2 linked regions of the Ovis aries genome follow. The protein of the gene in region 2 purifies or fractionates together with the protein of the main gene of each other region. This does not show direct contact. Links are inferred from orthologs where the notes say so. Each region holds a gene or a part of one and is shown on either strand. Other genes may lie near its edges.

Region 1 (6,248 bases), on a different chromosome or scaffold from region 2:
ATAGCACCTAAAGCAAGGAACTATGATAAAGGAACCCTCGTGATTTCTGATGTCAGTGAAGTGTGACTGTGACTGAGACCAACTTCATGGATTGTTACAGGCTTTGAAATGAGCGTGAGCAGAGTATGTGATATTTTCTTTGCTGAAAAAAAGATTAAAAATTAAAAACATAAAACCATTCAGAAGTCTAATAAAGGAAAATAGGAATGATAAATGTGTATATATTATGCACAAAAAGGTTTAGATACAGCCTATACATGTATATATAGAGAGAAAAATGTAGGGTAAAAAGATACCCTACTTGTCTTTCTACCAACTCTGTAATATGTGGCAGAAGGGGAGCTGACCCAAGAATTTCTGACTAAACAATGCTGACTGAATGTGCCTTCACTGCCTAAAGAAACCAGAATCTTCTCATTCTGGCTCACCCCCCTTCACCCCCCTCTCCCATCTCCCCTCGTCAGAGTCTGTAAGTAGTGAGTTTTAAGTACCTGCCTATATGTGAGAGGCATAAGAAATTCTTCCTTTTGGAAACCCCTCCTTCCCATTTTCTTGTGTAGTCATGGCAAGTAAACTTATCTCTTTATAGTAGTGTAAGAGTGGTTTGGATATAATTCTACTTTCAGGCCTGATGGAGTAAACTGAGACACACCAATTCTCTAAAAATAAATGGAAAAGCCAGATAAATACAAACAGCATCTCTATAAAGCAATCCAAGAGCTGCTAGAGCATTGAGGCTGGAGGAGCCAAGATTCCGAGGGGGATCTGCAAAATGGAGAGCTTTTTCCTTGGCCAGGTGGAGGTACTTACTGATTCTCGGTAGAAGGCTGAGCACCTGGGCTTTGCCTGGGTCAAGGGTCATCAATGGGGGGGGGGGGCAAAAGAAAAAAAAGTTATATTTTGGGTTCTCACAGGACTGAAGAGACAAAACTGAAATCTTGGAGAGCCAGGATTTCAGAAAGAAGGAAGGAAGGAAGAACTGAGGGACCCTGATGGTTTCCCCTCAAAATTTTGCTGAATTAGGAAGCTGTAATACTTGGTACAGGAAGTTAGGATGAGAAAATCACTGTTTTTCAGTTTTCTGCTTAGCCTCTTTACCTACCCAGCAGAGATGAGAGTCACAGCACCAAAATCCAAGAAAAAAAATACACAATAGAAACCGGCCCACAGGTAATTCATGTATTAGATTAACAGACAAGGACTTTGATTCAAATATTCAAAAATAGAACTTCCCTGGTGGTCCAGGGGTTAAGACTCCATGTTTGTAATGCAGGTGGGTATGGGCTCAATCCATGGTTGGAGAACTAAGATCCCACATGCTGCACAGTAGAGCCACTCCCCTAAAAAATTTACCCCAAAATGACAAAAAGATAAAAGGGGATCAGAATTTATTTTTAATGGAAATTCTGGAACCAAAAAATACAATCACTGAAATCGAGAGCAGTCTGGGAAATCAAGGGCAGGTAGAACTACGTCTGTGCACACAGATACTGACATTGGCTCAGGACGTGACTCAGTTGCATCTCTGGAGCTCGGTCTCAGTGCTGGAATCCTAAAATCTAGTGCAGACTCAAAGGGTTTGTGCACACAAGAAGGAAACAAAAACAAAAACAACTCTTCACAGAGCGGAAGGAGCGGGTGGGATGAACTGAGAGAGTAGCAGTAACATATACATACTACCATCTGTAAAAACATAGCTAGTGGGAAACTGCTATACATAACACAGGGAGCCCAGCCCCCAGTGCTCAGTGACAACCAAGGTATCTTTCACTTAGTGTTTGTTTGGCTTAAATATGCACTAAATCAAAACACTATTCAACAAAGAACCTAAAAATATTTCGTAAAAATGACATGTAGAAAAAAATTGATAGAAAAAAACCATTAAGAACAATCCAGCTGGGGAGTATCTGGGAGGAATGGATAATAAACAAGACATAACAAAAACAATGCTGGAACCGTTATGGATTACTATGCCCAGGCACTATCGGCTTAAATAAACCACTAACCCGGGGGGAGAGGAGGTGGGCAGAGTCAAGAGAACAGGAGAATGGATGTGCAAGGTTGATTTCCCACGATAAGGCTCCGGTGCCTGCGTGGTGTCTGGACCCAGGCATTTTAGGTTAGAACTCTACAGCATGCTTACTGGGGAGAGAACACTGAGTCCTACCTAGACTCAAAAATCTGTCCACCGAGCCGGGCAACCTTAAGGAAATCTCTTTGTAAGAGAGATTCCTAAAGTCTAAAATAGGGAGACGAGATTAGTAACCCTGACGATCTATACGTCTAACTCTGATGTTATAAACAAGGGATCACACAGATCTCCTTCCTTCAGAAAAGGCCAGTCCTCAGGCTTCGAGCCGTCCCGGTTTTTCGGCAAATCTGCATTAGCTCGGGGGATGGACCCCGCACAAAGCGCCGCCTCATTAACGCCTCATCAACCCCAGCCTCGAGCAGGCCTTCAGCGCCCAGCGCTGAGTGACTTCTCAGTCCTTCCTCCACCTCCCCGGGACGCCCGACCTCGGCTGGGACCCGGGAACCCGCGACTGTGTTTCCTCCCTGAACAGACAAAATCACCTGGGGCATCCAGGCCTAAGCTTCGCGTCCGCGGCGGCCTCCAAGAGGAGAGCTGAGGGGGATAATCGACTCCCTCGACGATCTCCGTGGCCTGGACCCGCCCCCTCAGCCTGGAGCCAGGCTGCGGAGGGCCGATCGGCTCGATGAGCGGGGGCGCAGCTGCGGCTGAGCGGCCGACGCCGGGTCCGCGCCCACTGTCTCCCCCTCCCTGCTCTCTTCTTCCGATTCCCACTCCTTCCCCCGCCCGTCCAGCGCCGTCCGCCCGGGAGAGTTGACGGGCGCTCCCCGGGAGACTCAGGTACGGCCGTCCTCCTGGGCCCGACGGGAGGGGCGGATGTGCGGAGGAAGGAAACGGAGACGGCGTCCGTGCCTCGCCGCCCCCAACGTCCGCGTCGGGCTGAGGGGCTGGCCTCGGGGGTCGCCGAGTGGGGAAAGGCTGGGGTCGGAGGGGCGGGTTACCCTGAGGAAGAATGATCAAGACCTGGGTGTGCAAAAAGGGGCTGTTAAGGGGGAGAAGAACAGGAATTGTAGGGTGCTCTGGGGAGATGGGAGGACAACAGCGGCGGGGATAGGGAAGACGAGAAGAGTGGGAGGCAGCCCGGAATGTGAGTGCGTATCTTGGGGTAAAAAGGACTAGAGTCTGGAGCAGATGGCGGGGGACGTGACCCGGTGCGACTGATGCGGGGGGCGGGTGAATGGGGCTGCTTGCTGGAGGGATGAATTTGTTTCTTTATTCAAAGACTGGGGAGAGAGCGCGCCAGTCCCGTTGCATTTATAATGACCGGAAGGGTAAGGTGAATCATTAACACTTTGACAGCTTTTGTGAAGAGCATCTTCAGGCGGTGTCCATCCAAGTCACTTATTTCCGTGAAACTGCACCAACCAAGATTGCTGATGAGAGTTGAGGAAGAGGAGTCAGAAAGGGAACGGAGGCTGGGAAAAGGGAGCCCTCTATACAGATTTCAAGCTTTTTCTAAAATGAAATACTAGGGGTTTTGGTGTGCTTGTTGTTTGCGTAAAGCAAAAAAGAAGCCAGCATTTACTAAACAACAGGTTAGAAGTATATTACTTACTGCCTCTTCAAAAAATACAGGAAATTGTGAACGTATGATGATGGCATAAGAAGCTTATGGTGATGTGACAGAAAAATGTATTGGTGATGTTGAAATACATCACTGAAGGTTCTGTTGTTTACATACATACCTAGACACAAACACCTGAATTTATATGTATTTTGGGCAGGAGAGATCTAGGGAGAATATATATAAGTCTAATTTCTGAGCATGGTTTATTTCTGCTAGTCGTCTGGTGCAAATATCATTTGCCCTGTCGTTCATCAACTGCAGTTAATAATCTGCCTGCTGCTTTGTTGATGCCTTTTATGTTTGTCAGTGATTTCTTGCCTTCATGAAGCTGATTCTTGGATTATGGACCCTGAATTTGGGTTTGCTCATCGTTAAGCTTGTAGTTTTACTGTACATTTCACAAAGATGTTATGTAAGTCTGCCTGCTATTTGTTTTTGGATGTTGAAGCAGCCCTTTTGTAAAGTTTAAAATATAAATAAAATACAGGTATAATTAAAAGCTCGCGTCCTTTGGTTGCTTCTTTTGTCATCTGTTTCTCCATACTTTCTGTAACATTCTGCATGAATGAATTATTCAGAAATCGAAGTATGAGGAATAAAATGGGTCAGATGCTGGATGTGCGTGACAGAAATATTGTAGAATGAAGAACTGTAGAGCTGTTACTTAGGTAGCAAGTACTTGGTTTTTGTTACAAGTGATTAAGTTTCTGGTTTGGAAAATTATTTCTTATCAAAGAAGAGTGTTTATATCAATTTGTTTGGATGGGAAGTCAACTTAAAATTTTACTTTATCTTTTATGAAACTGGACTCTGGGCTTGTTTTTTTCTTTTTTAAGTGAATGATTAACCACCAAATTGATGCCTAATTATGCTTAAAGATCTTAGAGGTGGTTTTGTGCAAAGGGAAAGGGCTGCTCGGTTGTTACAGGGAAATGGTCTTTATAGAACAGAATTGTGTAACCTGATAGACAGCTTATTGAGTAAATACTAAAATTGATCATGCACAGTCATTAATAATTTAGGCCTATGTTTCTGCTATTTCAATCAGTAGAGTGATTAATGCTGTTACTTATCTTTTACCAAGCCTTAGTTTTCTCTTGGTTTCTTGGTGCTTACTTCAAAGAAGTGTTGTAAAGAATTAAAAAAAAATGTGTGTAAGTTACTGAGCACAGTGCCTAACACATAGTAAAATAGTCAGTACACCTTAGCTGTTCTCATTATTCATCCATCTTCTTGTCCAAGATACTGACAACTTCTGTTTGCATATGTCAGCTTTTTCTCAAGAAAATTTTGAATATGATGCATATTCAAGCATGTTCCTGGAAAAACTCAATGCAAATAAGCAGTTTAAAAACAGACTTTCTGTAGCAAACAGAAAACCTGACTTTGTTTAACCCAGCACTTAGCAAACATATCCCTTTCCTTGGAGCACCTGGTGTTATGCATTGGAACAGGGCATTATAATTTACAGAATGTTTTTGCATGTATGTATTAATCTGATATGACCATCCCAACTCCATGCAGAAGCCTAGAAATCACTATTATACAGATGAGGAAATGGAATCATTGTTGATGCAACTCACTAAAAGTGAGTGAGAGAATTTGAAGTGTTTTCTGTCTTCTGACTCCAAATTAAAATCTTTAAGCATTTGATGTCTCACTTGCAAGGGGACAACCTCCTGTTTTACCCTCCTCTCCTGTGGAGTCTTCTGTTTCATTTTATAAAAATGTTGTCACTGATTTTCTCCACATGTTCTCTAAAAGTTGCCTCCATTTTTCTCAGGGTTTTAACTATTTTTTGTGTACTGAGTCCTCGCATGGAGGGAGGCCAGGGTCACTTGTGTGGAGACCGTGTGAGAGAGAGCAGTGAAAGTCAGAGAAGTGGAGGGGGCCCCATCACATCAGGCCTTGTGTGCTGTTTTTACTACTTTAGCTTGCACCCCTAAGTTTCAAATCTGATGAAATTTATTTTCTCTTTAAGGTGGTAAAGATTTATCCTGCTGGGAAGTAGAAGAGTACCTCATTAAAAAAGATGCCTCCCAAGTTCAAGCGCCACCTAAATGATGATGATGTCACAGGTTCTGTGAAAAGTGAAAGGGTAAGTTCAGAATCTTAATCTTGAAAAAGGAAAGATTAAAAATTTGTTTTACTTTGTAAATAATTTTAGAAAAATCTAATGTTTATGGCTATATTTGAATCCTATATGTTTTCTTCACAGAAAACATTAAAAAATATATGTTACTTAGATTGGGACTCAGCCAAATTCTGTTTCTATTAGTGACCACATTTTGTTCCCAGTTTCTTTCTAGTCTTTCAAGGGGAATTTCGTATAAATACACAATATCTTCTTTCGGACTCTGGAGCCAAATGTGGTTGGAATTCCTCAGAATTTTTCAGATTTTACAGAGGTAGTTAGTGCACATTTTAAAAGAGTCTTTTGGGGGAGTCTAGAGCAGCACCTCCGAACATACTAATGTTTCTCAGTGAAATGTCTGGTTATTCTAACTAAGTATATACACAAATTAGCTAACATCAATTCAGGTCAGCTTTTCCTCCAAGTGAGTTTTGACTGCAAAACTTACAAAATCT
Region 2 (6,105 bases):
ATATTGTCACCCTGCTTATTTAACTTCTATGCAGAGTACATCATGAGAAACGCTGGGCTGGAAGAAGCACAAGCTGGAATCAAGATTTCCGGGAGAAATATCAATAACCTCAGATATGCAGATGACACCACCCTTATGGCAGAAAGTGAAGAGGAGCTAAAAAGCCTCTTGATGAAAGTGAAAGAGCAGAGTGAAAAAGTTGGCTTAAAGCTCAACATTCAGAAAACGAAGATCATAGCATCTGGTCCCATCACTTCACGGCAAATAGATGGGGAAACAATGGAAACAGTGGGAGACTTTATTTTGGGGGGCTCCAAAATCACTGCAGATAGTGACTACAGCCATGAAATTAAATGACGCTTACTCCTTGGAAGAAAAGTTATGACCAACCCAGATAGCATATTCAAAAGCAGAGACATTACTTTGCCGACTAAGGTCCGTCTAGTCAAGGCTATGGTTTTTCCTGTGGTCATGTATGGATGTGAGAGTTGGACTGTGAAGAAAGCTGAGCACCAAAGAATTGATGCGTTTGAACTGTGGTGTTGGAGAAGACTCTTAAGAGTCCCTTGGACTGCAAGGAGATCTAACCAGTCCATTCTGAAGGAGATCAGTCCTGGGATTTCTTTGGAAGGAATGATGCTAAAACTGAAACTCCAGTCCATGCGAAGAGTTGACTCACTGAAAGACTTTGATGCTGGGAGGGATTGGGGGCAGGAGGAGAAGGGGACGACCGGGGATGAGATGGCTGGATGGCATCACTGACTCGATGGACGTGAATCTGAGTGAACTCCAGCAGTTGGTGATGGACAGGGAGGCCTGGCGTGCTGCAATTCATGGGGTCGCAAAGAGTCGGACACGACTGAGTGACTGAACTGAAGGGTGAAACTATCATACACACACCCTGCCTCCAACACACACACACACACACACACACACACACACACACACACACACTGAATTTTCCAGGTGGCGGAGGCAGACTTAGACAGGCAAGGCAACATGCCCAAGTTGCACATCTAATAAGCAGCAGAGCTGGGATTCTAAACAGATCTGATGCCACATGTGAACTGTTACCATAACACCTTTCTCAGTATTTCTGACTACAGCTACCAAATGATAGGCTTCACAACAGACCATTTTTCTCCCTGTACACGGTGAGATAAGCAACTAACTGCAAAGGAACCTTTTGCTTAAGATCCTTCAGGAAGCCTGCTTGTTGGCATGGAATTCCAGCCTCTATAAAGTATCTCCCCCACTTACAACTCATCGTCAGAGAAAGAGGAACGTTACAATTAGTGTTAGTGATGGTTTCCACTCATCCATTTTCCTGACTTTACTCCAGAATACAAATCATTAAAATCAAAGCTCAAATATAGTGCAATAAGAATATTACTTAAGAAGAGACTGATCTATCTTTTGGTCCACAGAGTAATCAAATTTCTTTTTGAAGTTTTAAAATATTTAATCTTTTCTATTCTCTTGGAAGTAACACTTTAACACATTGTACATGCACAGCAGAGAATGAAGTTAGTTGCAATCAATCCAATTTATTCTAATCCCATTTCAGTAAGTTAATATTTCAGGGACTAAACTGCTTTGGCTGAAAATTTTGCTCCAATTTTTAACCTTTACTTGGGTAATTTCTGGGTCAACCACCAATGATGCCAGGAAGAGATTATAATTACTTTTAATCATACTAGTTTTGCATGGTTGCACATAATCAATTCCTGTTGTCCACAGATATACATCTGAAATGCATAACTACAAACATAATATTTTTTATCTTTCCCTATTTATCAACTAGAAACAGATTATAAAATGAGCAAGTACAAATAATTATTGAGAGGGAAACCACAGTATTTTTAAGAATTACTATTTTATTTAATTATTCAAGTTAGTAAGCATTTTTCCAATGCCAGCTATAGTCTCCTTTCAATTCCCATGAAGCTGCTTCTTTGGACCTTACATTACATTGTAGCTGTAGAAATTCAAGGTCTCTAAGTTACTTAATTCAAAGGTTTCTATGTGGTAAGAATGGTCACATTAAAATAAAAGGGAAGAAAAAAAACAACAATTGTAACAAATCTGTTTTCTTGGAATTGGCTGTTACAATTTTGCACCCAGGAATGACTTTGTTACTTTATAGAATAGCTTCTCAATACCAAAGCTATTAGCCCAAACAAAAGAATGTTTGCTAAGCTACAATTCTGACAATTAAAACAGAGCAAAAAAATCCCACAAAACCACAAATCCTGATATTCTGAGGTTCTGGGACTGAAGTCAAAGGTAGGCTCCAACGATAATGACAACAAAAATCAAGATGATCTTGGGTGGTGGAGGAAAGCAGAACTGAAGAGAAGAGGCGAGGTGATGTATCATGAAGTGATGAGGCCACTGGCCACTTTCGCCACAACAATCTCCCAGGCAGCAGAGCTCCGTGGTAGATGCTACCTTGGTTCTTTCCTCTTGTTCCCTCACTTGGACTCATACACCTCTTTAAGACATCATCCTCCACCTCCTCCAGAACTAACTGGGACTTCAGGAGATGAATGGGGTGTAAGTTCAGAGATCCTGGCTTCAAGCAAATGTCCCTATTAATAGAAAACAGGTGTGGGAGGGGGAGGAGAAAAATAAAGAAATAAAGGAATAAAATTATTTATAAACACATAAGTTTGGGGAGAGGTGGGGAAAGGAAAAGAGGAATCACAGCTTCGGTATAGGAGAAATTATTGCTGGCATCAAGGACTGACTGACAAGGTGGAACAATGAAGTTGACCACCGGTTTACAGATAAACTTTACACCACAGAGTGAAGGTATACGGTTCAATTTCCCTACCACAGCTAAGTTCCTGAATAGCAATCTTATTTGCAACTAAATACTCAAATTAAATCTGTATTGAGAGAAAACAAATCCTAAAACAATATCCTACAGATGAAAATTACATGATATCATATTTATGTATCTGTTCATTTCCTTGAACATTTTCCTGAGCTCCTTCTAAGTAAATGCCAAGGAAACCAAAGATAGCTCCCACCTTCACATAGTTGACAGTCCAGCATTTAAAATAAGATGTGCTAAAACAAAAAAATTCTTCTGAATGACAGCTGTGGGATTTTAAAAGTGAGAAAAATTATTCTGTACCAATTTTTACACATCGTTTCTCAAGAAGGATGAGAAAAAAATAAATGAGCTTGGTAGTATGAAAAATATTAATGATTATAGCAGCTAACATTTTAAAAAAAAAGGATTTTACATATGTTAAGTCATTTAATCTTCACATGAGAGATGCACAATTCTTTCCATTTTACCAAGAAACAAAAGTTGCGGGAAGTTAAGAAACTTGCCTAAATGCAACTTCTAAGTGGCAGGGCTGGGATTTGAATCCAGGCACCACGGCTCTCAACCCTGCTTTTCTGCCTATAGTAATAACATCGTTACTAACAAAACAACGTTGCTGTATGGTGTAGACCCATGACCTTGGTACGTTAATTCATTCTCGTTGAATACTCTCACATCTCTGTATTTCACAAACAAAAGTAACAGAAAAGCCAACCAAAACGAAGACTCAGAGAAACGTTCCCATGGTTATACGAGTAAAAAGGTGGAGAAGTCCAGATAAGAACTCCAAAAAAGCTTCAGATTCCAAAGGCTCTGCACCCCACAATCCAGCTTGGATCCTCCCCTTACCCTCAACCCACTCAACCATTCCTCCCGGAGGCCCCGACACTACTTCATCCTCCAGGCTCGCGCCTAAGAGGCATTGAGGCAGAGTTCCATCGTCCACACCGGAGCCTCCCCACTTTCCAGGACACCCCCGCCCGGCCTAAGAAGCGCCCTTACCAGGTGGGAGTCGGGGGACCCTTGCAATCTTGTTGGTGATCTCTGCTGTGAGCACCGCGAAGTCCTGCTCGTAGCCTTCAAAGTCGGACGACATGGCGGGTTCCGGAGTGGCCGGCCCGGGTCGGAGCCTAGAACGGAGCTGAGGTCACGCGGGGCAAGAAAAACAGAGTGTAAGGACCCGGAAAGTTCCCTAGAGAGCGGAGCAGAGAACCGGGGACAGCTCCCAGGCCGACCGCTTCCTGGTTGTTCGTCGCGATCTTGGTCCTCCGGAAGTTGGGCTGGGTGCGTGTTTCAGTTTCCGTTTAGGCTCCAAGATTAAGAAGTTCTCTAAGGAAAACCCCTTAAATCAGTGTCCCTAAAAGCCTAAAAAAACCTCGTGTTCTCAGGAATCATTTAAAAGCTTTTTTTTCCTTCCTCCGCGTTTTGGAAAGTGGTTCCGGTTCCCCAAACTAGAAGCCAGAGGAACTTGCTTCCCGACGGAAGGTTGATGCGGCGGACCTCCCGGAAGTGGCTGTCACGGAGACTGCGCACTGAGCTCGAGCAGGAGAGCAGCTGCGAGGGCGCTGGCGGAGCGACGCGCGGGTCGTGGCTGGTCACACACCCCAGCTTCTAGCGCACAGAATTTACTTTCTACTTGCGTTGGGCTGGGGTACCCAGGAAGGAGTTATCCGAGAGGGAGAGAGTCTGCTCCGGGTGAGCCCGAGCCGCCCCAGAAATGCGATGGCCGAGGAGCGGGCACTGAGGACCGGACCGAGGTGGGAGTCAAAGCAGGGGACATGATTTTGCGGTCATCGCCCCACCCGAATGAAGCCAGCATCTCCAGAAAACCGAGACCAACCACCCTTACCAAGATGTTCGTCCCCTGCGTGAGGATTTCTCAGTGCTCTGCTCCATAACACGGGAGGGAAACTGAGGCACGAGGCAGCGCGACATCTCTTGCGTGGAAATCTTTGTTGCTCTGGTTCTCAGATCTTCTTCGCTTGACTCACTCCAGTCCAGTGCTAAATAGCCTTCTACAGATCTTCCCCGCGCTCGCCGTCCTGCCTTCCCGGTCCCTCGCCTTCCCCCCCCCCTCCCGCCCCCGCTCCCTCCCTCCCCGTCCCCCCAATAGTCTCATTCGTGCTTATTTTCATCTACGCCTCCGGCCCTGAGTTCACACACACGTCTCTCTCCTCACCTCCTCTCCCCGCTCCTCCCCTCCCCTCCTTGAGCTTTCATCCTCCGATTTCTTTACTTCTAACACAAGTAGACCTTACGTTAGCCTTTGAGGGGCAACCGCAGGCAAATGCTGTAGACCTTGTCTGGATCAAACTGGATTTAATTCAAGAGTGGGTAGGAGACAGTTCAGAACTCTGTAAAGGAGGTTTGATGATTTGGCTTCTGTCGGGTTCAGCTGTCACTCACCCAAGTGGTTTAATCGCTCAGCCTCTCTGAGCCATTTTCTTTTCTATGAAGAAGGAAACTGGATTAGGTCAACTATAAGGCCCTCCATCCCAGCTCTAAATTGTTTTTGTTAACTGCAGCCTTTCACTAAACGCTTGCACAGACATAATCCTCTGACAAGTTAGGAACAAAGGGAAAAAAACAACCACTTAAGAATCATGGATCCAGTTTACCTGCCATTCAGAATTGACTAAAGTTTGGATAAGATGAAAATGGTTCTCTTTGATATTTGGTGAGATACTCATTCATAGTAATGTACTTGTGAGCTGCTTCTATTTAGGCGATTATTGAAATTAACAAATACAGTAGATAGTAAAATGTCTTACCCAACCTTCTCATTTTGTTTTCTTTAGATTAAGTTTCAAACCAAGGTACTGGATTCTCCTAGATTAAAAAGTGTCAGTGAAAATGGCATAATCTGCATTAACATCCCACAACGTGACGACATGACAATTAAGGAACACACACGGACTTGTGGCACGAGGAAATGTGTGCACAGAAAAAGGAAATCTGTAATTCTTTAAAAACTGGAAGACATTCTTCCTCACCAAAATGGGTACATTCTGCTCAGTTGTCAAGTTTGAAAATCTCCAAGAATTAAAGAGACTTTGTCACTGGGGTCCCATTATAGCCCTTGGTGTTATAGCAATATGTTCTACCATGGCCATGATTGACTCTGTGTTGTGGTATTGGCCCTTACATACCACTGGAGGAAGCGTGAATTTCATTATGTTGATAAACTGGACTGTCATGATTCTTTATAATTACTTCAATGCCATGTTTGTTGGTCCTGGCTTCGTCCCTCTGGGGTGGAAACCGGT

What was found. The genes of interacting proteins can lie anywhere in the genome.
Region 1: the proteins of VTI1A (region 2) and VAMP4 purify together in Homo sapiens (affinity purification with mass spectrometry; 4 studies listed by BioGRID and IntAct, counting the BioPlex papers as one, with this or other methods). This does not show direct contact. The link is inferred for Ovis aries from reciprocal best matches to the Homo sapiens genes VTI1A and VAMP4.

The regions. Positions count from the first base shown.
Region 1 is NC_056065.1:38,444,017-38,450,264, reverse strand, and holds the start of VAMP4 (vesicle-associated membrane protein 4), read left to right. Parts: upstream 1-2,716; 5' UTR 2,717-2,872; intron 2,873-2,950; exon of another isoform or gene 2,951-3,179; intron 3,180-5,640; 5' UTR 5,641-5,691; coding exon 5,692-5,757; intron 5,758-6,248. UniProt on the Homo sapiens protein: Involved in the pathway that functions to remove an inhibitor (probably synaptotagmin-4) of calcium-triggered exocytosis during the maturation of secretory granules.
Region 2 is NC_056075.1:32,505,619-32,511,723, reverse strand, and holds the start of VTI1A (vesicle transport through interaction with t-SNAREs homolog 1A), read right to left. Parts: upstream 4,091-6,105; 5' UTR 3,936-4,090; coding exon 3,842-3,935; intron 1-3,841. Other genes in the region: palmitoyltransferase ZDHHC6, read left to right, coding at 5,837-6,103. UniProt on the Homo sapiens protein: V-SNARE that mediates vesicle transport pathways through interactions with t-SNAREs on the target membrane. These interactions are proposed to mediate aspects of the specificity of vesicle trafficking and to promote fusion of the lipid bilayers.